Linked DNA regions of Lepisosteus oculatus. The protein of the gene in region 2 interacts with the protein of the main gene of each other region in a biochemical or structural test. Links are inferred from orthologs where the notes say so. Each region holds a gene or a part of one and is shown on either strand. Other genes may lie near its edges.

Region 1 (11,382 bases), on a different chromosome or scaffold from region 2:
AGAAGCTACGATGAAACAGAGGGAAAGGGGCACTCAGCCGAGCTTTTACAGCTCTTAACATTTACAGGATTTTACATGACTCCTGGGGTGTGACATCATCACATATGCACGCAGGGCTAATGTGTTACTTGTTAGAAACTACTTCAGCGGACCCTGCCTTGTTCAAAGGTCCCACCTGAATCATCATCGTTCCCATCGCAGCCTGCTGGGAAAAGAAAGGGATGTGGAATGGGATCCCGACGTGCCCAACTTCCCGGCCGTGCCCGTGCTTGTCCCCATCCCCGAGTCTCACCTCCCTCCTTTGGTCTCCCTGCTCTCCGGCGGAGACGTCTGGACCGCAGGCTTCTCGCCATCCGATTTCTCCAGCTTGACGGCCGCCTTCTTGGGGGCTGTTGGAGCAACGTTGGCTGATTTGAGAAAGGAAAAGGCGGGAAGGGTCCGAGAGGGAGGGAGCGATGTGGCGGGGGCTGTGGGACCCAGGTCACTGCGCCGCGCGGCAGTGGAGGGGTGGGGGGGACTTACTGAAGAAGCTGCTGACGGCCCGGCTCTTGGCAGGTTCCACCTTCCCTGGCTCCACCGACTTCCCGGCTCCGACCTCCTCTCCCTTCTTCCCTTCTTTCTTGTCCGCCTGGGGGGACTTCACCCTGCTCGCAGCCGGTCTGGCCGACGTCTTGGTCTTGGTCTTGGCGTTGGCGTCGTCGGGCTTCTGGAGAGGGGAGGCGGCCCCTGCCTTCGGCGCAGCTGGCTTGGACGTGGCGTCCAGCCTCTTTTTCCCAGCGTCCTCGGAGGGCTCCGATTCTCTCGCCTCGCCCGGCCCCGGCTCGACCTTCATCTCGGCGATGTCTCCCGTCCCCTCCTCCGCCCCGGGCGAGGGGTCGCTTTCGGCCGCTCCGGCTGGCTGTCCCCCGACGGGCGAGCTTCCCTGCTTCTCCGAGGGGACGCCCCCGGAGTCGACTTCCATGGCTTCTCCATTCACCTTCTCTGCTTCGGGGACACACACGCATAAATGTGAACAGCCAGAAGCAAAAAGAAGCGAAGAAGAGTACCCACCCCCGAATATCAGGAAAGTGTAACCCAGAGTAGAGATTAATCACAAGAGTGGAGTTAATATCTCTCCTCTTACTGACAGTGTCCTGGGATCTGTACAGTCCAGCAGTCAGGACAGCCCTACTCTTACTGACAGTGTCCTGGGATCTGTACTGACCAGCAGTCAGGACACCCCTACTCTTACTGACAGTGTCCTGGGATCTGTACTGACCAGCAGTCAGGACACCCCTGCTCTTACTGACAGTGTCCTGGGATCTGTACTGACCAGCAGTCAGGACACCTCTACTATTACTGACAGTGTCCTGGGACCTGTACTGTCCAGCAGTCAGGACACCCCTACTCTTACTGACAGTGTCCTGGGATCTGTACTGACCAGCAGTCAGGACACCCCTACTCTTACTGACAGTGTCCTGGGATCTGTACTGACCAGCAGTCAGGACACCTCTACTCTTACTGACAGTGTCCTGGGATCTGTACTGACCAGCAGTCAGGACACCCCTACTCTTACTGACAGTGTCCTGGGACCTGTACTGACCAGCAGTTTTTCTTGACACGTTTTCCCTAATTTCTCAGTCTCATTTTCCAAAAGCAAATCCTTTCAGACTCTTACCTGGCGTCTCCCGATCCTCCAGTCGTGCTCTCTTGGGCTGGCTCTCCAACGGCCCGGCGTCTTCTGGGGGCGACGCCCGTCTCTCCTCTGTGATCTCCAGTTTCCTTTTGGGGAACTGTTTCCGGGCTGCAGAAGGAGTCAAGTTCCCGTTCATCATCATCGACATGGAAAAACACGCAGAACAGCAACACAGACACAGACAAGTAGATCTTCAAGTATTTCAGCAAACAACCAGGAGGATCCTGGTTTAAATCCCCAGATTTAAGCTGTGCCCCCCTTAATCAATTAAATTAATTAATTTCTCAGACGGGTTATTAAGTCTCAATCACAAAATAAATTCATCGATGGCATTGCTAAATTGTGAACTTTGTGAAAGTACTATAAATCGCCATGTGGTCGCAAACTGGCATTCGAGCTCCGGCCAACTGTAACTTGATTGCAGCCCTTCCTGCTCACTAGTCCCTGCAATGACTATGTACTCTCATGAATGAGTGGAGAAGTGCAGGTTGTGCAACAGACATTTCACTGCAGATAGTTTCCAATGTGATCGGCATGCAGGGTTAACAAGTATTATGAGTCTGCCAAACTATCTATGGGAACCACGCCGAAGGGTTGACCCAGCGCCGCCCCATGGGGGCGGGGCGTACCGGTGCGCCGCTTGGGGATGCCGGAGGGGGAGATGACGGCACCCTCGCTGCCGGGGGAGCCCTCGCTGCCGGAGGGGGAGCTGACGTCCGGGGCAGAATCCGTCCTGGGCTGGGGAGGGGCAGATACAGGGGTGACCTGGAGGGGAGAAAACCCAGAATAAAAGACCCTAAAAATATTGCTCCCCTAAAAATATGATGACAATTTTACCGTTACAATACAATCAAAGGGGGGCTGGAGAAAGTGTTCTAAGAATGTTTACATTTTACAGTAAATAAAAAAAGGCCAATTAAACCAATTAACTGGTCAGTTACACCAATCAATTAACTAACAGACGTGCTACAATGTACATATATCTATAACATTACATTGGGAATGTATATGTATACACACTGTGCTATAAGGACGTCTCTTAACAAATATAAAAGCAAGCAACAAATGGGCACTTCACAACATGAATGTACGCCGTTCTGGCTACCGTCAGATTGAAATTCGAACAAATATGCAAGACACGGCCTCGCTCTACTGATAAAACACAGCTGCCCCTGCTCTAAGAGCAGCCACCTGGTGCTGACGACTCAACCTCACACACGCTGCAGGTTTCACTGGATGGTTTTATTCAATGAACATGAAGCAGATGACCGCGTGGTCTGACTGACCGAGGAAGTGATCAATTAGACCCTTCAGTTAAGGGATAGCTCAGGTTGAATGGGAAACAGTGTCATCCCAAGAGGTCATGTTGCTAACTGCCTGGGGACTCGATTCTTGTATTATTCCGCTATCCAGAGCGCCTGTCAGTCTCCTGCAGTGTCTGTTCCCGACACTCTCACAGCTGGGACTGCAGGCGCAACCTCACTTAAGGGGGCAGCAGCTGTGCCCCCCAGCTGGATTTGAACTCACGGCCCCCCAGGCATGAGAGAAAAGCGGGGCGCTCACCTGCTCCGCAGCAGCCTGGGGTGCAGGAGTGGCCCCCTGGGTCTCCCCGCCACGCGGCTCGTCATCGTCGCTGTCCGCGATGCGTCGGGTTCTCTTGGCCGTCTTCTTTATGGGGGAGTCAGGCTCCGGGGTGCCGTTCTGCGGTTTCAGGGGGGACTTGGCGGGCCTGGGAGACAGAGGGAGAGGTTGAGCTGAGGATCTGGGGCTTGGGGAGCTGGGCACCCCATCATAACCCGGGGGTGATGATCTCCTTAATGATGAGCAAAGTTACTGTACAACCCAGTGAGATCGGGGTAAAAACACAGTAGAGCACAGTAAAAGCCCAGTGAGATTGGGGTAAAAACACAGTCCAGCGCAGTCCAGCCCAGTGAGATTGGGGTAAAAACACAGTACAGTACAGTAAAGCCCTGTGAGATCAGGGTAAAAACACAGTACAGCGCAGTAAAAGCCCAGTGAGATCGGGGTAAAAACACAGTACAGCACAGTAAAAGCCCAGTGAGATCGGGGTAAAAACACAGTCGAGTGCATTAAAGCCCAGTGAGACTGGGGTAAAAACACAGTCGAGTGCATTAAAGCCCAGTGAGACTGGGGTAAAAACACAGTCGAGTGCATTAAAGCCCAGTGAGACTGGGGTAAAAACACAGTCCAGTGCATTAAAGCCCAGTGAGACTGGGGTAAAAACACAGTCCAGAGCAGTACAGCCGAGTAAGATCGGGGTAAAAACACAGTACAGCCCAGTGAGATCGGGGTAAAAACACAGTACAGCACAGTAAAAGCCCAGTGAGATCGGGGTACAAACACAGTGCAGCACAGCCCAGTGAGATCAGGGTAAAAAGGCAGTAAAAGTCTTTTACTCACTCCGTCTTCTCCGCGGTCCTCGCGCTCCCCTTGGTCTTCCCGTCGCCAGCCGCCGCGGGCCGGAAGAACGAGCTGCGACAGAGAGCGCGGACTTCATTTCACACACACGCACAGCGACCAAGGTCGACACGAACCGTGTGGGCCACGGACAATAACTACAGGCGGAAGCGCCTTTAAAATCATGGGTTTTAATAAGCCAGAGATCTGATTTTATTTTCATTCGGTAAAGACGATTCAACAACATTTCTTTACCCAACACCTTTGCTTTTCCAAAACCCGCAATTTATAAATAACATCGCTCTTTACAGGTCATGGGGATCCCCTCCACCCCCACCAGTGTGTCCCCCCACCTGGGTGAAGCTCCAGTCTGCTCACACACAGCAGCTCTCAGTGGGGAGGAGAGCAGAGTGATGGAGCCAGTTCAGAGAGGGGGGTTATTAGGAGGCCATGATGGGTAAAGACCAGGGGGAAATTTGGCCAGGACACCGGGGTGACACCCCTACTCTTTTCGAGAGACACCCTGGGATTTTTAATGACCACAGAGTCATAACCTCGGTTTTACGTCTCATCCGAAGGACGGCGCCTGTTTACAGTCTAGTGTCCCTGTCACTATACTGGGGCATTAGGACCCACACAGACCGCAGGGTGAGCGCCCCCTACTGGCCCCACTAACACCTCTTCCAGCAGCAGCCTCAGCTCTCCCAGGAGTCTCCCCTCCAGGGTACTGGTCAGGCTCACACTGCTGAGCTCCAGTGGGGCTGCCAGTGCTGAGCTGCAGGGGGACATGGCTGCTGGCAAATAAATAATGCACCGGCATCACCGCGCAGCAGCTACGCGCCTGGACGCAGCTCAACGCTGCAGCAGTGAAAAAGGCGGTCAGTCCTGAACTTTAAATCGCACGGAGCATAAAACGCGGCGGCACAAATTGTTTCTCGTCTCAAGTCAGAGCCGCAGGTCGCACTGACCGGTCAACAGGTTGCCAAGCGGGGCTCTGGACACGCACACTTCCGGCTCCAGCCTCCCCTACAGTACAGTACAGTACAGCAGCCAAATAAACAGCCTACAGCAGGCCGGGCCGTGAGACTCCAGCTCATCCCGAATGCAATCGGCGATTGTAGAAGAGACCCCAAACCTGTGAAAAGACCTGCGTCTAGGACACAATCGCTGAGTACGATTCCTTGGTTTTTTTTTATTTTTAAACCACATATTTCTTTTGCAACCCGGTTAAAACGACGCGTGCTATCGTTAACACAACCGGAAAAAAATAAACCATTTCAAGGCACGCCAGCAGAGCCGTTGAACACGACGGCACATACAGATACGTGCACATCAATGCCCGATGCCCTCTCAGCCCAGGCTGCTGCAAAGTCTCTCTCTGCATGCACAAACACCCAGCAAATCGCCAGTGATGAAACTCACGCTATACTCCTCTGCATCGTCAGCTCCGGATGTCTTCAAGGCCCGGGTCCAGAATGCCAAACAGCAAATCAAATCGAAGATAACGTGTTTTTCTCTTTTTGTGTGTTTGTTTAATTAATCCAAAGTACTACCACCTTCCCGACCGCTTTCTTTCCGCGCGCTCCGACTCTAAACTGAAGCGCCAAAGTGACGTCGCCCAGCAGCTGCCGGGAAAACCCGCCCTGCAGACGAGAACCATAGACATCCCGCTCTTTGACACAGATTGAACAGAAACACCCGGAAACGCCGCACGACGTCGCCATCTTGGTGGGGGGCAGAGGTTTGTGTATCGCCGTCACGGTGCGGTCGTCGCAGAATTCTCTTCTCATTGCCCCAGGGCTTTTACTGCTTAAAGAAAAACGGCCAAACTCAGAACTGTGGATTATTTCAGCTTGACTTTATTGAACATCTTATACATGGAGAGGGGTATATGATGTTAAGTCGATGGGCAAAAGTAAATCAAACTCATATAAACTTAGAAAAAAAAATTCTCTGTACAAATCAGTCTAGACGACGATAAATTCAATTATTGAAGTAAGCCAGTCAGTTCAGCCTACTGAAAGTGGCCAGTTATGATGACTTTAACTAAGACTTTAAGAATATATTACGAAATATGAAATATGATTTCATTCTGAACAGCATCTATAAATGGGAGTAAAAAGAGAGCATGATCATTTGTATCTGTTTTCTTTTGTCAGAATCCCCATTAGTTGAAATTACAGCAGCATAATAATATAATAATATTGAATGTGAAAATAAAGAGTCACATTGCCATAAGGACAGGATATGTCTAAGTCCCCATTTCTTGACAAAATACCTTATGGTATCCTGACTCCTAAAACAGCTACAACAGTCTTTAACAGCCTAGGTAGCAATTCTCTCTATCATATTTTATGATGTTTGCACATTACTATTGGTGCACAGACATTTACAGAATTTACAGGAATTGTTTGTGTCATTTGGATTGTTTGTGTGACATGAAGCCTATGCCAAACACACACCTACTTTGGAAAAAAAACACATAAAGAATTATAATCCAAATAAAGTGAACCATTTCCTTGCATTCACAAGACAAAATGTCTTTTGGCACTAGAGGGCTGGTTTACTCACCCACTGAATTTCTTCTGACAAGCCTGTTAGTGGTGACCTGCAGCTCACTTGTAGATCTAGAGTCTAATGATCCCCATTGCTACACCAACCTGTCCACACTGACACCTGGATATCTGAGGTTCTGATCACCTCGTGATCTACTGATCAACTCCTCCACTCCCCTTTTCGCACTGACACTTGGAGATCTACAGTCTACTGATCACCTCCTCCACACTCCTGTTCACACTGACACCTGGAGATCTGAGGTTCTGAACACCTCCTGATCGACTGATCACCTGCTGATCAGCCTACTGATCTCCACTGTCTGAACTCCTCCTCTGCTCGCACTGACACCTGGAGATCTACAGTCTACTGATCACCTCCTCCACTCCCCTTTTCGCACTGACACCTGGAGGTCTACAGTGTACTGATTACCTCCTACACACTTCTGTTCACACTGACACCTGGAGGTCTGAGGTTCTGATCACCTCCTGATCTACTGATTTCCTACTGATCTCCACTGTCTGAACTCCTCCTCTGTTCACACTGACACCTGGAGATCTGAGGTTCTGAACACCTATTGATCTACTGATCACCTACTGATCTCCACAGCCTGAACTCCTCCTCTGTTCACACTGACACCTGGAGATCTGAGGTTCTGATCACTTCATGATTTACTGATCACTTACTCCGACCACTTCTGCTTTCATTGATTCAAAACAGATCTGCAGAGGGTGACTCGATCGGAGCTTTGATTGAATCCAGATTTTTGTTTCAACAAAGAAGCAAACAAAGAACAGAGAAACACAAATGCGAACCAGAAACTCTGCAAATAAAAGCGTGAACCACAACATGATGAAATGAAAATGGCACAAAGTTATATATATTTTAATTGTAGTGAAATAACATACAGAATTAGAATGGAGACACACGGAGTAGATCCAGAACATTCAACCTTTGACCCCTCCAATCTCATTCACTGCAGTGCTATAATGCTACCAGCTTTCCTGATGCTATAGTGATCCTGCTACTTAACAACTAATAACTTTGTATTGAAGTTGTTTGGGGGGATCTCAGTTTTGAGCATCTACGTGGTACTGCAGATGCTTCCAGCAGCTCACAAAGTCCAGATCCCTCCCCCGACATCCAGCAAGAGCATCTGTTTCGGAATAGCGGTCAGGGGGTTGGACGCAAGACGCGTTGGCTCATTCTGCTTGGCTGGGGGGTTCGACACCTGGGCTGAGGAGAGAGGAAGTCAGCAGGGCGGGGAGAAGACCGAGAGGGGGCTGCGCAGGTGGAGGCAGGAGGCAGATAGATGGGTGCTTAGTTGCTGTCATCCTCCCCAAACGTTCATCAAAAACCCTGTTTTAGCAGGATCGACACACTGTAGCTGCTGAGGATCTAAGTCCTGCAATGGAGTCAACTGGAGGGCCAGGGGTTGAGCAGCCCTGCTATAACTGTGTCTACAGACTATTGTTTCTTTTCTTAAAGATAAATGGGTTTGATTCGGCCACAAGTGAGGCATCTTAATTTCCAATAAGCCTTTGCTTTTTTTTCCTCAATGAGCTGTCTTCTTCCTTGTCCAGATCTGGGTCTCTCTTCTGGAAATGGGAGCTGAGGATGTCTGCTTTTTTATTTGTCGGGATGCAGGGAGTCAAAGTGCAGTCCGCAGAAGGTTGGAGATGAGTTTATTTGTGACCAAAAAAGAAGCTGTTTTTCAAGAACACCGGAAGCAAACGCACACAAGGGGTATTTTGAGCTTCATACTGTAGCGGAGCGCGTTCGGGCACTGTGACGTCATCGCCTTCCCTCGCGCAGCGCAGGGACCTCAGCCGCCTGGGCTGGGGGAGGTCTCCTTTAGCTCACGTGGCTGGTGCCCTGTTGCATTACGCCGGAGACCCAGGTTCGCACCCCAGGTGTGGTGGGACGAAACGGGTGGCGGAGGGCAGAAGCCCACGCGGAACCGCGACGGTCATGTAAATGGTCACAGCACATATTGTTTCTTTTAACAAGGGATCTGCCAAAGTCAGGTTACCTATGGTACGTGAGCGATGTCACCTCATAACAGACTCACTGTAAAAACCGCAGAGAACAAAGTATAAAACACGTTGTTCCTCAGCTAGTAATTTTTCTCCTTGCTGTTCTGCTCTGGTCTTTAAGTCACCGAGTGCTGGTGGGGGAACTGATTTCCTCCACCGTGTCCTGAATTCCAGGAGTGATCCAGAGGGTTTAATAGTCCATGTAGAGGGGTTTATGAGTGACCATTCCTTTTATGGTCCAGTGTCTATTCCTGATAACATTATCCCGGCCTTTCAGTTACTCGTGAGGTCTCGTAATGTAACAAAAGCGTTCTTTCTGGACCCTATGCAGACGACACAATCCGGGGATGAGTGAGAAAAAACACAGGGGAAAAAAAGCATGCGGGAATCGGGAATGAAAACGGGGGGCGTTTCCATGGTGCGCTTGTGTTCGGGGGAGGTGTGGCCGAGGCAAACAATCCAGAGCTGAGTCCAAAAGGGGAATCCAAGTCAGGGCAAAAGTCCAAAGCCCGACGAGATAAAACAAGAACCGGGTCAGGACCGGCATGGGAACGGGAACGGGAACAGGAACAGGAACTAAAACCTTAACGGGACCAGGCGCTTCCAGGTCCTGGACTCGCCTGGTACGGAACCCAATGCAGAGCCCGGAACAGAGTGAGCGCCTGGCTTTTAAAGGGGGCTGGAACAGGGAGCAGGTGCAGGAGATGAGTGGAAAACAAGGAAGGGCTGGAGCGTCCTTAAGAGGAGGGGTTTACGATCGTGACATGTACACTGTACCACAGCAGGCGTCTGTCTAAAACGTGCTCAGGACAGGTCAGGAGTAACGACTCCAGGTGGGAGTCTGATTTCTACCAATTTGAATGGTGAAATGAGAGAAGGATAAGTGGAGCACTTCCACAGTCTCGGATGGAGGAGGGATTTGAATTTGGCAGGGACAAGCGTTCAAATCAATCGCGTGTTAAAGACAGAAGGAATATTGTCTGTAAATCAAACTGCAACAGGGAAGCCGGTCTTCCACTGCCCCATCCTGGTCTGGTCACTCCCCTTCCGGCTCTCCTTCTTCACCGGGACCCCGCCGGCCCTCTCCTCTTCCTCCTGCTCCATCCTGCTCCTGCTGGCTGGCCAGGGGATCGGCGCGCCCGGAAAGGGCGGGCAGAAGTGCAGGCTGGGGTTGAGGGGGGGCAGGTGGGGGACGTCTGATAGGTTCAGTCCCGGAGGGGGCGGGGCCGAGATATAGGAGACACGCCCACCCGGGAGAGGGGAATGTGGGAAGGGGAGGGGCGTTGGGAGACAGCAGGGGTGCAGAAAAAACGGGTGGCGAGCCAAATGCAGAGCTGCAATTGAAGATGAATGGGATAATTCAGTATTTTATAGGTAGGATTAGACAGTTAGTATTGCAGATCTTAACCACTTAGTTACGACATACAGACACCCATTTATTTGTGCTTTTTATCGTTTTTATTTTGTTTTTTCCAGTAGTATTCAAGTGAATTCCATCCATCTTCCAACTTGGGCTCACAGGAGAGCCAGAGCCTTTCCTGGCCAGCAACGGGCGCAAGACAAGATCACAGGGCAGATATGCACACTCACACCAAGGCCAATTTTCCCAGAATCCAATTGGTTAAGTGGGTTACACCAGCATATCTTTGGCCTGTGGGAGGATCCAAAGCATCCAGAGCAAAACCCACACGAACACAGAAAGCACAAACTCCACACAGACAGCACCCCGGGTCTGGAATTGAACCCAGGGCCCCAGCGCTACAAGACAATAACGCAAACCGCTGTGCTGCTGTGCCACGCTTGCTCTCTGATGTTCTCCTGGATAATTATTAGAAACACTTACTGACGCTTGTAACTAAAAACAACACGATGAAAAGCATGCAATGGGGGGGCAGCCTGTCTTCCCTCAAGGGTGTTCATTTCTTATTGCACCTGTCGGGATCACCCGTGGTCTGGACCGATCATCTTTCCAGCCCACAGGTATGCAGCTGGACTCGAGCCAGGTGTGTAAGATACAGAGCCACAGTGAAAAGCGGATTATTTAAATTGATTGTAGTCGTCAGTGCCAAACCATTGATTGCTTTTAATCTTTGTACTGCAGATCGGTTCTCCAGACCCAAGCTAGTGACGTATCTTTATGAGGACTGGAAGTTTGGTCCAGTCCATGGCATGAGCTGTAATTTTGCAGGCTTCCCTGAGTTTGATAAATAAGGCTCTGATATCCCTCTTCACCCCTTCCCCCCACTAAACCCTATAGGTGTCCTACCTCTGTCCAGCCCTGGTGTCTTTGATATCCCCTCCACTCCACAGGTGACGTCACCAGGACACCCTGCTCTCCGAGAGCTGATCTGGTTCACCAGGGCTCTCTGGGTGAACAGCAGGTTCTGCAGGAACTGACAGATTGATATGATGATGATGAGAATAAGGGCTGATGGTTTCTCAGAGTATGTTGGCAGGCAGCACCTCCCCCTGGCCGCAGGGTGAATTGCAGTGAGAAGGAGAGACATGAAAACTACAGCCCGAGTCTGAGACATCGGTGGTGACACCAGTTACCCTGAAACTCTCCTGCTCATAAAGGAGTACCCCCTTTTAGAATCCACGCTGGGGACCGCAAAAGATGACATCAGGGCTGTGTTCTGACAACAGCTAGGGGCTGGAGGTACAGTCACAAAGGGTGGGTGTAGCGGTTCTGTAGGTGTT
Region 2 (11,518 bases):
GGGAGAGAGAGAGGGGAGAGAGAGAGATGAGGTAGAGGAGAGAGAAAGGAGAGAGAGATAGGGGAGAGGGGAGAGAGAGAGGGGAGAGAGAGAGACAGGAGAGAGGGGAGAGAGAGAGATAAGGTAGAGGAGAGAGGAGGGGAGAGAGAGAGACAGGATAGAGAGAAGGAGAGAGATAAGGTAGAGAAGAGAGAGAGAGAAGAGAGACAGGAGAGAGGGGAGAGAGAGACAGGATAGAGAGAAGGAGAGAGATGAGGTAGAGGAGAGAGAGAGAAAAGAGAGAAGAGAGACAGGAGAGAGGGGAGAGAGAGACAGGATAGAGAGAAGGAGAGAGATGAGGTAGAGGAGAGAGAGAGAGAGAAGAGAGACAGGAGAGAGGGGAGGAGAGAGAGATAAGGCAGAGGAGAGAGAGAGACAGGAGAGGTAAGACAGACAATATGACGGAGAGACACACAGGGTTCGAGGCTCTCCGTCAGCGTGACCCCACCCACCTCCTCCTCCTCGCTGCTCTTCTCCAGCTGCCCTGCAGGGGGCGACGAGACATCCAGCCTCCTCCTCTTCACTCCTCCTGAGAGACAGAGCGGGAGTCAATCGGGGAGAGAGGAGAGAGAGAGGAGAGGGGAGAGGGGAGAGAGAGGAGTGAGGGGGGAGAGAGAGGGGAGAGGATGGAGACAGGAGAGACCGGCTGACCTGTGTCGCCCTCTAGTGGCGAGCTGGTGGAAGGCTCAGGGGCGTCCACTGCAGGCTCAGGAGGATCAACACTCTTCATCTGCGCAGGGAGACAGAGAGACAGTGAGACACAGGGCAGAGAGAGACAGGCAGAGAGGCAGGCAGGCAGAGAGGCAGACAGGCAGGCAGTCAGAGAGACAGGCAGGCAAACAAGCAGGCAGTCAGAGAGACAGGCAGGCAGGCAGTCAGAGAGACAGGCAGGCAGGCAGAGAGACAGACAGGCAGGCAGGAAGTCAGAGAGACAGGCAGGCAGGCAGTCAGAGAGACAGGCAGGCAAACAAGCAGGCAGTCAAAGAGACAGGCAGGCATTCAGAGAGACAGGCATAGAGACAGGCAGGCAGACAGACAGGCAGGCAGTCAGAGAGACAGAGAGACAGGCAGGCAGACGGACAGACAGGCAGGCAGACAGTCAGAGAGTCAGAGAGACAGGCAGACAGGCAGGCAGACGGACAGACAGGCAGGCAGGCAGGCAGTCAGAGAAACAGGCAGTCAGAGAGACAGGCAGGCAGGCAGAGAGACAGACAGGCAGGCAGGCAGGCAGACAGTCAGAGAGACAGGCAGACAGGCAGGCAGAGAGACAGACAGGCAGGCAGGCAGGCAGACAGTCAGAGAGACAGACAGACAGGCAGGCAGGCAGACAGTCAGGCAGCCCCAGGTCCCGATGGGCCGCACCTGTCCAGCCGCAGGCCTGTTCATGGTCTTCCTGGCCCGGTGGACTTTGGGGGGGGGTGCCGCGGCGCCGGCGGGGGGGTCGGCGGGGGGGCTCACGGGCGGGGGGGCTTTTCCCTGGCTGGGCATGCTCATCTTCGCCCGACCCGGGGGGGACGAGGAGGAGGAGGAGGAGGAGGAGGAAGAGGAGGAGGAGGAGGAGGAGAGAGTCTTGGCCGCGTGGCCCGCCAGCCCCTTGCCGGCGGGGGGCGCCGTGGAGACCGCCCCCCCCTCCTCCGCCCGCTCCCCTCCCCCCTTGGCCGCCCCCTCCCCCTCCCTCTCGGAATCCTTCGGCGACGACATCATCCCCCCCATGGGCTCCGCCTCCTCGGGAACGGTCGCCGCGGCGCCGGCGTCGTCACCTGGATACCGGAACACGGGCAGGGAGACAGTCTGAGCTATTTTATTATTATTATGTGCTGGACTGGTGTCCAGTGAGGGGCTGGTGTCTGTGGGTGTGTCTCTCTGTGGGTGTGTGTGTGTGTGTCTCTCCCTGTGGGTGTGTCTCTCTGTGACTGTCTGTGGGTGTTTCTCCCTGTGGGTGTGTCTCCCTGTGACTGTCTGTGGGTGTTTCTCCCTGTGGGTGTGTCTCTCTGTGACTGTCTGTGGGTGTGTCTCTCTGTGGGTGGGTGTGTCTCTCTGTGGGTGGGTGTGTCTCTCTGTGGGCTTGCCTGTTCCTGATTGGTCACCAGAGTCCTTCCCGGCAGCAATCTCCGCCTTCTTCTTCTGCTCTGAGAGTCCGCCCTGGTTAGTGTCCTCCTGGTGTGGGGGAAACGAAGGCAGAAGTAATTAGTTCCACTTTGACCGAACGGATGCGTTGCTATGGAGATCGACAGTGCACCCTCGAAAAAATAAGGTGCCGTATCTCAGGCATGAAGGCCACTCAAATGCTACTTGCAACGTCAAAAACCAGCAGAAACGAATGTGCTGGGTTTTAGTGTTTGTGCCAGATTCACGCAGCTTCACTGAGCTCGAAAAGCAGGCATACCATGTCTAAGGACTGACATTCACACCCGGAGGGGGTCGGACTGCTGCGCACTGGGAGTCTGACAGCACTGTCACACCTGGAGCGGATCAGACTGCTGCGCACTGGGAGTCTGACAGCACTGTCACACCTGGAGCGGATCAGACTGCTGCGCACTGGGAGTCTGACAGCACTGTCACACCTGGAGCGGATCAGACTGCTGCGCACTGGGAGTCTGACTGACAGCACTGTCACACCTGGAGCGGATCAGACTGCTGCGCACTGGGAGTCTGACTGACAGCACTGTACCACCTGGAGCGGATCAGACTGCTGCGCACTGGGAGTCTGACTGACAGCACTGTCACACCTGGAGCGGATCAGACTGCTGCGCACTGGGAGTCTGACTGACAGCACTGTCACACCTGGAGCGGATCAGACTGCTGTGCACTGGGAGTCTGACTGACAGCACTGTCACACCTGGAGCGGATCAGACTGCTGCGCACTGGGAGTCTGACTGACAGCACTGTCACACCTGGAGCGGATCAGACTGCTGCGCACTGGGAGTCTGACAGCACTGTCACACCTGGAGCGGATCAGACTGCTGCGCACTGGGAGTCTGACAGCACTGTCACACCTGGAGTGGATCAGACTGCTGCGCACTGGGAGTCTGACTGACAGCACTGTCACACCTGGAGCGGATCAGACTGCTGCGCACTGGGAGTCTGACTGACAGCACTGTACCACTTGGAGCGGATCAGACTGCTGCGCACTGGGAGTCTGACTGACAGCACTGTCACACCTGGAGCGGATCAGACTGCTGCGCACTGGGAGTCTGACTGACAGCACTGTCACACCTGGAGCGGATCAGACTGCTGCGCACTGGGAGTCTGACTGACAGCACTGTCACACCTGGAGCGGATCAGACTGCTGCGCACTGGGAGTCTGACAGCACTGTCACACCTGGAGCGGATCAGACTGCTGCGCACTGGGAGTCTGACTGACAGCACTGTACCACCTGGAGCGGATCAGACTGCTGCACACTGGGAGTCTGACTGACAGCACTGTCACACCTGGAGCGGATCAGACTGCTGCGCACTGGGAGTCTGACTGACAGCACTGTCACACCTGGAGCGGATCAGACTGCTGCGCACTGGGAGTCTGACTGACAGCACTGTCACACCTGGAGCGGATCAGACTGCTGCGCACTGGGAGTCTGACTGACAGCACTGTCACACCTGGAGCGGATCAGACTGCTGCACACTGGGAGTCTGACTGACAGCACTGTCACACCTGGAGCGGATCAGACTGCTGCGCACTGGGAGTCTGACTGACAGCACTGTCACACCTGGAGCAGATCAGACTGCTGTGCACTGGGAGTCTGACTGACAGCACTGTCACACCTGCAGTGGATCAGACTGCTGTGCACTGGGGGTCTGACTGAGAGATCGCTGTAAACGTGCAGTGGATCAGACTGCTGTGCACTGGGGGTCTGACTGAGAGATCGCTGTAAACGTGCAGTGGATCAGACTGCTGTGCACTGGGAGTCTGACTGAGAGATCGCTGTAAACGTGCAGTGGATCAGACTGCTGTGCACTGGGGGTCTGACTGAGAGATCGCTGTAAACGTGCAGTGGATCAGACTGCTGTGCACTGGGGGTCTGACTGAGAGATCGCTGTAAACGTGCAGTGGATCAGACTGCTGTGCACTGGGGGTCTGAGAGATCGCTGTAAACGTGCAGTGGATCAGACTGCTCTCAATCCGGCTGTGTGGCGGAGCACTGAGGAACAAAGAGACGAGAGAATATGGGTCCGGTCTCCCTGGATGAAAACACAACATCCCCTCCACGCACACGCACACAGCCGATCGCCCTCCCCACCACGCCGGGGTCTGCCCAGCAGCGTTAACACACGCAGCAGCGCGTCCAGGCGCGGAGACGGGGCTCGCACCCTGAAAAGACCCGGCTCTGTGCAAGGCGCTGGGCGCCTCTTTGTACCCCAGCCTACAGACAGAAACGAGGCGCCCCTGCAGGCGCTGCGGGAACCCCCCCGCCCCCCAAGCGGCCGTCCCGCTGCACACGGACAACACGGTGCAGGATGGGGGGTGACCACATCAATCCAAACACGCAAGCATCCAAAATCAGGTCTCCTCACCTCACTCGAGAGCTCAGCCGCCGACATATTGGCTCCGACTCCGGGGCGACGGAGAAAGACGTCACTCAGAGCGCGACCCGCCCCCTCGCCGCCGGCGCGCCCCGCCCCCTCGCCATTGTCCTCCGCCGGGGAACAATCCCGGGCGTCTGACGTCACGGGCACGTCGCGCCCGGGCCCCGCCCCCTCCCGTTTGTCTGCTTTCCCGGGCTTCGCTCTTCCGCCCCTCCCCCCTCCGCCGCTGCCAAGCTCACCCTGGTCACATGACCGAGGCCAGGTGCTCTGAAGCCCAAAGGCCGCGTCCATGTTTGTGACGTCAGAAACCAGTCATGCTCCGATCTGATATTTTTTTTTTAGCATTTAAAGGAAGACATACAAGGAAAATATGTAAAAAAAGCTCAATTTTCAGCTTTAATAATTGCGAGTGCGTCTATTTCTGTATATGTTTTAATATTTGGTCTCCTTTTTTTGTATTTCGGAGGTTTAAATTAAAAAAAATCATAAAAAAATAGTTTGATCTGAGATAGATCTGAGATTCTGACGCTTTTAACTGAATTGTACATCAGAACGAACTGCCAGACCCTTAAACAGTGCTGATCCACTGTCTCGTTCCACACTGACTGTTACTACTTTATTCGTCTTTTCTAGTGATCAACTTGACTTATATTATTATTATACTGACACGGGTGCGGAGTGCAGTGAAGAGTTTCTCATGAGTCCGTCAGGCGCTGTCCATACAGAACAGCAGCAGACAGGACGACAGACAGTAAATACAATAGCAATAACAGTGTAAACAACGAGTATGACAGCACCCCCTGTCCGCCACAAACCGTGCACAAGGGCAAATTAATAATAGTGATAATAGGACCTGTCGCGCGGACACTCATAGTAATAGGGGTTATCACTGGGCTCCTCCTGTGTTTGTGTGTGTGTCGATGCTGGGGGGTGCCGAGCTCAACGTGTGTCTGGGGTAACCGCCTCTAATCTGTATCGTCCTCTCGTACCTGTGTGTGTGTGTGTGTGTGTGTATTTCTTTTTATTTTAGAGAAAGAAGACATGTATTTTAAATACAGGAGACGTGACACAATCCTTTTGTCATTTTCCCAGAAACATCCCACATGACAACCGAGTCTCTTCATATCTGCTCCCTTGGACAATACTGGACAATTATTTCACTCCGAACCCAACTAGATGCGTTCAAAATAAGGAAGATACATTCCATTTTTTATGATTTCTGAAGCGGGGGGAAAATGTAGATACTGATTCAGATCTCCATTTGTGTGCGCGCGTGGGTGTGTGTATGTTTCTGTGTGAATGTGTGTGTGAGTGTAATTCTGTCTGAATGAGTGTGTCTCTTCCAGGTGTGTGTCTCTCCAAGGTGTGTGTGTGCCTGTGTGTGTCACTCCAAGGTGTGTGTGTGCCTGTGTGTGTCACTCTCAGGTGCGTGTGTATCTGTGTGTCTCTCCCAGGTGTGTGTGCGCGCACTTCTGTGTGTGTCTGTGTGTCGCTCCCAGGTGTGTGTGTGTGTGTGTCTCGCTGGTCAGGCGTGAGCCCGGTGAGACGTCAGCCCCCCCCCCACGACAGCCCGGGGCCCGGGGGAATGTTTCACACCCCCCCCCGAGACGCGCGACACACAGACAGGGTGGAAACGGAGCTCCTGTCCCTTTAAGGGGGCCGGCAGCCCTGCGCGCGCCGCCGCGGCGAGAATCTCGCTCGAGGACGCGGCTCGGGACGGGAGAGCACGAGGCGAGCACCAGTAAGTGCGGGTGCATGTAGGGGGGTGGGGGTGTCTAATTGCGCGTTATTGTGGGGGCGGAATTGAGCGATCGGGGGGTGAATGAGCCGGCCGGGGCTCGGACCCGCGGCGCAGACACAGCGCAGCCCGGCTGCTGATAGCACAATAACAGCGTCCACCCTCCTCCCTCCCCGCCCACGTCGCCTTGTGATCGCGCACGGCGGCGCGAGTGGGGCAGCTCTTCCCCGTTAACAGCCCCACGCAGCGCGCGCGGGGGGCTGCGGGTCCGGCCCACGGGTGGGCAGCGCGGGTCCGGCCGGTCCGGCCGTGCCCCCCGGCCTCCGAGCTCTGGGGATGAGCTGGTCCCCCCGTCCGGGCTGGCTGTGATCATGATTATCTCCCGCTGTCGATAGAGTATTATTAACTGATGTATCGATACCTCCCTCTCTCTCTCAGTGTAGTGTTCATGTACTGGAGTGTCCAGTCAGTGTGTGTGTGTGAACCCCTCTCTCTCTCAGTGCAGTGTTCATGTACTGGAGTGTCCAGTCAGGGTGTCTGTATGAACCCCTCTCTCTCTCAGTGCAGTGTTCATGTACTGGAGTGTCCAGTCAGTGTGTGTGTATGAACCCCTCTCTCTCTCAGTGCAGTGTTCATGTACTGGAGTGTCCAGTCAGTGTGTGTGTATGAACCCCTCTCTCTCTCAGTGCAGTGTTCATGTACTGGAGTGTCCAGTCAGGGTGTCTGTGTGAACCCCCCTCTCTCTCAGTGCAGTGTTCATGTACTGGAGTGTCCAGTCAGTGTGTCTGTATGAACCCCTCTCTCTCTCAGTGCAGTGTTCATGTACTGGAGTGTCCAGTCAGTGTGTGTGTATGAACCCCCCCCTCTCTCTCAGTGCAGTGTTCATGTACTGGAGTGTCCAGTCAGTGTGTCTGTATGAACCCCTCTCTCTCTCAGTGCAGTGTTCATGTACTGGAGTGTCCAGTCAGTGTGTGTGTATGAACCCCTCTCTCTCTCAGTGCAGTGTTCATGTACTGGAGTGTCCAGTCAGTGTGTCTGTATGAACCCCTCTCTCTCTCAGTGCAGTGTTCATGTACTGGAGTGTCCAGTCAGTGTGTGTGTATGAACCCCTCTCTCTCTCAGTGCAGTGTTCATGTACTGGAGTGTCCAGTCAGTGTGTCTGTATGAACCCCTCTCTCTCAGTGCAGTGTTCATGTACTGGAGTGTCCAGTCAGTGTGTCTGTATGAACCCCTCTCTCTCAGTGCAGTGTTCATGTACTGGAGTGTCCAGTCAGTGTGTGTGTATGAACCCCTCTCTCTCTCAGTGCAGTGTTCATGTACTGGAGTGTCCAGTCAGTGTGTCTGTATGAACCCCTCTCTCTCTCAGTGCAGTGTTCATGTACTGGAGTGTCCAGTCAGTGTGTCTGTGTGAACCCCCCTCTCTCTCAGTGCAGTGTTCATGTACTGGAGTGTCCAGTCAGTGTGTCTGTATGAACCCCTCTCTCTCTCAGTGCAGTGTTCATGTACTGGAGTGTCCAGTCAGTGTGTCTGTATGAACCCCTCTCTCTCTCAGTGCAGTGTTCATGTCCTGGAGTGTCCAGTCAGTGTGTGTGTATGAACCCCTCTCTCTCTCAGTGCAGTGTTCATGTACTGGAGTGTCCAGTCAGTGTGTCTGAATTAACCCCTCTCTCTCTCAGTGCAGTGTTCATGTACTGGAGTGTCCAGTCAGTGTGTGTGTATGAACCCCTCTCTCTCTCTCTCAGTGCAGTGTTCATGTACTGGAGTGTCCAGTCAGTGTGTGTGTATGAACCCCTCTCTCTCTCAGTGCAGTGTTCATGTACTGGAGTGTCCAGTCAGTGTGTCTGTATGAACCCCTCTCTCTCAGTGCAGTGTTCATGTACTGGAGTGTCCAGTCAGTGTGTCTGTATGAACCCCTCTCTCTCAGTGCAGTGTTCATGTACTGGAGTGTCCAGTCAGTGTGTGTGTATGAACCCCTCTCTCTCTCAGTGCAGTGTTCATGTACTGGAGTGTCCAGTCAGTGTGTCTGTATGAACCCCTCTCTCTCTCAGTGCAGTGTTCATGTACTGGAGTGTCCAGTCAGTGTGTCTGTGTGAACCCCCCTCTCTCTCAGTGCAGTGTTCATGTACTGGAGTGTCCAGTCAGTGTGTCTGTATGAACCCCTCTCTCTCTCAGTGCAGTGTTCATGTACTGGAGTGTCCAGTCAGTGTGTCTGTATGAACCCCTCTCTCTCTCAGTGCAGTGTTCATGTCCTGGAGTGTCCAGTCAGTGTGTGTGTATGAACCCCTCTCTCTCTCAGTGCAGTGTTCATGTACTGGAGTGTCCAGTCAGGGTGTGTGTGTATGAACCCCTCTCTCTCTCAGTGCAGTGTTCATGTACTGGAACGGTCCTGTCTCACTGCAGTATTAATTAAATATGAATTAGCAGTAATAATATTAGATGTGATATGAATACTTGATAAGCAGTACCTATGAATTCCTGTACTATAGTGTGCAGTTCGTCAGTAACGGTACAGCTGAAGTGTCGCTCTCGCTCTGAACCAGCGCGCTGCTGCCCCCCGGTGGCGAGATGGAGGTACTGCGGTTCCGCCTGCCGGGCCACGGCGACGCCACGCTGCGCAACCTGAACCAGCTGCGCTCGCGCCAGCGCTTCTGCGACGTCACCATTGTCGCCAACGACAACCAGCAGTTCCGGGGCCACAAGGTGGTGCTGGCGGCCTGCTCCCCTTTCCTGAGGGACCAGTTCCTGCTGAACCCCTCCTCCGAGCTGCAGGTGGGGGGCTCGGACCCGGTACCGCGGCACACGCACGCACAGCATACACATGCACACACACGCACACACATGCATTCAACACACATACACACAGAGAGAGAGAGCCTGGCCATAGAAACTGGACACAGGCAGACCTGGCGGTCCAGAGAGGACAGGCTCAGTGACCACAGCCTGGACACACACACTGGACACAGGCAGACCTGGCTGTCCAGAGAGGACAGGCTCAGTGACCACAGCCTGGACACAGACACTGGACACAGGCAGACCTGGCTGCCCAGAGAGGACGGGCTCAGTGACCACAGCCTGGACACACACACTGGACACAGGCAGACCTGGCTGTCCAGAGAGGACAGGCTCAGTGACCACAGCCTGGACACAGACACTGGACACAGGCAGACCTGGCGGTCCAGAGAGGACAGGCTCAGTGACCACAGCCTGGACACACACACTGGACACAGGCAGACCTGGCTGCCCAGAGAGGACAGGCTCAGTGACCACAGCCTGGACACACACACTGGACACAGGCAGACCTGGCTGCAAGAGAGGACAGGCTCAGTGACCACAGCCTGGCCATAGAAACTGGACACAAACAGACTTGGCTGTCCAGAGAGGACAGGCTCAGTGACCACAGCCTGGACACAGACACTGGACACAGGCAGACCTGGCTGTCTAGAGAGGACAGGCTCAGTGACCACAGCCTGGCCATAGAAACTGGACACAGGCAGACCTGGCTGTCCAGAGAGGACAGGCTCAGTGACCACAGCCTGGACACAGACACTGGACACAGGCAGACCTGACTGTCCAGAGAGGACAGGCTCAGTGACCATAGCCTGAGGAAAAGACAGTGAGCCTGTCTCTCAATAATAATAATACAGTGTGTGATCTCCTGTCCCAGCCTGAGGAACAGTGAGCCTGTCTCTCAATAATAATAATACAGTGTGTGATCTCCTGTCCCAGCCTGAGGAACAGACAGTGAGCCTGTCTCTCAATAATAATACAGTGTGTGATCTCCTGTCCCAGCCTGAGGAACAGACAGTGAGCCCGTCTCTCAATAATAATAATACAGTGTGTGATCTCCTGTCCCAGCCTGAGGAACAGACAGTGAGCCTGTCTCTCAATAATAATAATACAGTGTGTGATTTCCTGTCCCAGCCTGAGGAACAGACAGTGAGCCTGTCTCTCAATAATAATAATACAGTGTGTGACCTCCTGTCCCAGCCTGAGGAACAGACAGTGAGCCTGTCTCTCAATAATAATAATACAGTGTGTGATCTCCTGTCCCAGCCTGAGGAACAGACAGTGAGCCTGTCTCTCAATAATAATAATACAGTGTGTGATCTCCTGTCCCAGCCTGAGGAACAGTGAGTCTGTCTCTCAGTAATCTCAGGATCTTTTTTCCTGTATTGTAAAAGTCTGTAGATTTGATGTTAACTGTAGTTGTTTTGCTTTGGCAACACCGATTGTACTCATCGGTCATGTTGAGCTGGATTGAGAGCAGTCTCCCTGAACGAACCCCTCTCACTGTCTCTCTCTCGCTGGGCAGGTGTCGGGGCTCCACAGCTCTGGTATCGTCTGCGAGCTGCTGCAGTCCTGCTACACTGGGGTGCTCCAGTTCACGGTCAGGGAGATCGTGGACTACCTGACCGCGGCCAGCTACCTGCAGATGGAGCACGTGGTGGAGAAGTGTAGGGGCGCCCTGAGCCAGTTCATCGAACCCCAGATCGCCACCGCTGTGAGTCTGGTCTCCCCCTCTCTCTCAGTGCAGTGTTCATGTACTGGAGTGTCCAGTCAGTGTGTGTGTATGAACCCCTCTCTCTCTCAGCGCAGTGTTCATGTACTGGAGTGTCCAGTCAGTGTGTCTGTGTGAACCCCTCTCTCTCTCAGCGCAGTGTTCATGTACTGGAGTGTCCAGTCAGGGTGTCTGTATGAACCCCTCTCTCTCTCAGTGCAGTGTTCATGTACTGGAGTGTCCAGTCAGTGTGTGTGTATGAACCCCTCTCTCTCTCAGTGCAGTGTTCATGTACTGGAGTGTCCAGTCAGTGTGTCTGTGTGAACCCCTCTCTCTCTCAGTGCAGTGTTCATGTACTGGAGTGTCCAGTCAGTGTGTCTGTGTGAACCCCTCTCTCTCTCAGTGCAGTGTTCATGTACTGGAGTGTCCAGTCAGTATGTCTGTATGAACCCCTCTCTCTCTCAGTCTTCACCCTACCCCAACACTGCCAGTCCTGGGTTCAGTGGCTTCCAGGGCAACCGCCGTTTTGGGGTGATGAGGGCTACTGCTGCTATCCAGACTGCGCTGGTGAACCCCGAGGTCCAATGTCGGTCGTGGGGGGGCAAGGTCACAGAGAGGTCACACCGACAGCCAGACAGGAGCACGGAGAATATGCACAGTGTCACTGAGCTGAAGGTATGCTTGTTGTGAAATGAAGTGTAAGATTGTCTCTGGGGTCT

What was found.
Region 1: of the proteins of ehmt2 (region 2) and lig1, one has a biochemical effect on the other in vitro, tested with the Homo sapiens proteins (3 studies listed by BioGRID). The link is inferred for Lepisosteus oculatus from reciprocal best matches to the Homo sapiens genes EHMT2 and LIG1.

The regions. Positions count from the first base shown.
Region 1 is NC_090699.1:6,242,963-6,254,344, forward strand, and holds the start of lig1 (DNA ligase 1), read right to left. Parts: upstream 5,720-11,382; 5' UTR 5,533-5,719; coding exon 5,516-5,532; intron 4,169-5,515; coding exon 4,097-4,168; intron 3,405-4,096; coding exon 3,239-3,404; intron 2,441-3,238; coding exon 2,305-2,440; intron 1,784-2,304; coding exon 1,658-1,783; intron 985-1,657; coding exon 523-984; intron 390-522; coding exon 293-389; intron 6-292; coding exon 1-5. Other genes in the region: ETS domain-containing transcription factor ERF-like, read right to left, coding at 9,670-9,878, 10,949-11,075.
Region 2 is NC_090709.1:39,386,135-39,397,652, forward strand, and holds the start of ehmt2 (histone-lysine N-methyltransferase EHMT2), read right to left. Parts: upstream 4,797-11,518; 5' UTR 4,579-4,796; coding exon 4,552-4,578; intron 2,197-4,551; coding exon 2,109-2,196; intron 1,800-2,108; coding exon 1,402-1,799; intron 770-1,401; coding exon 691-769; intron 569-690; coding exon 492-568; intron 1-491. Other genes in the region: zinc finger and BTB domain-containing protein 12-like, read left to right, coding at 8,867-9,070, 10,614-10,802, 11,265-11,474. UniProt on the Homo sapiens protein: Histone methyltransferase that specifically mono- and dimethylates 'Lys-9' of histone H3 (H3K9me1 and H3K9me2, respectively) in euchromatin.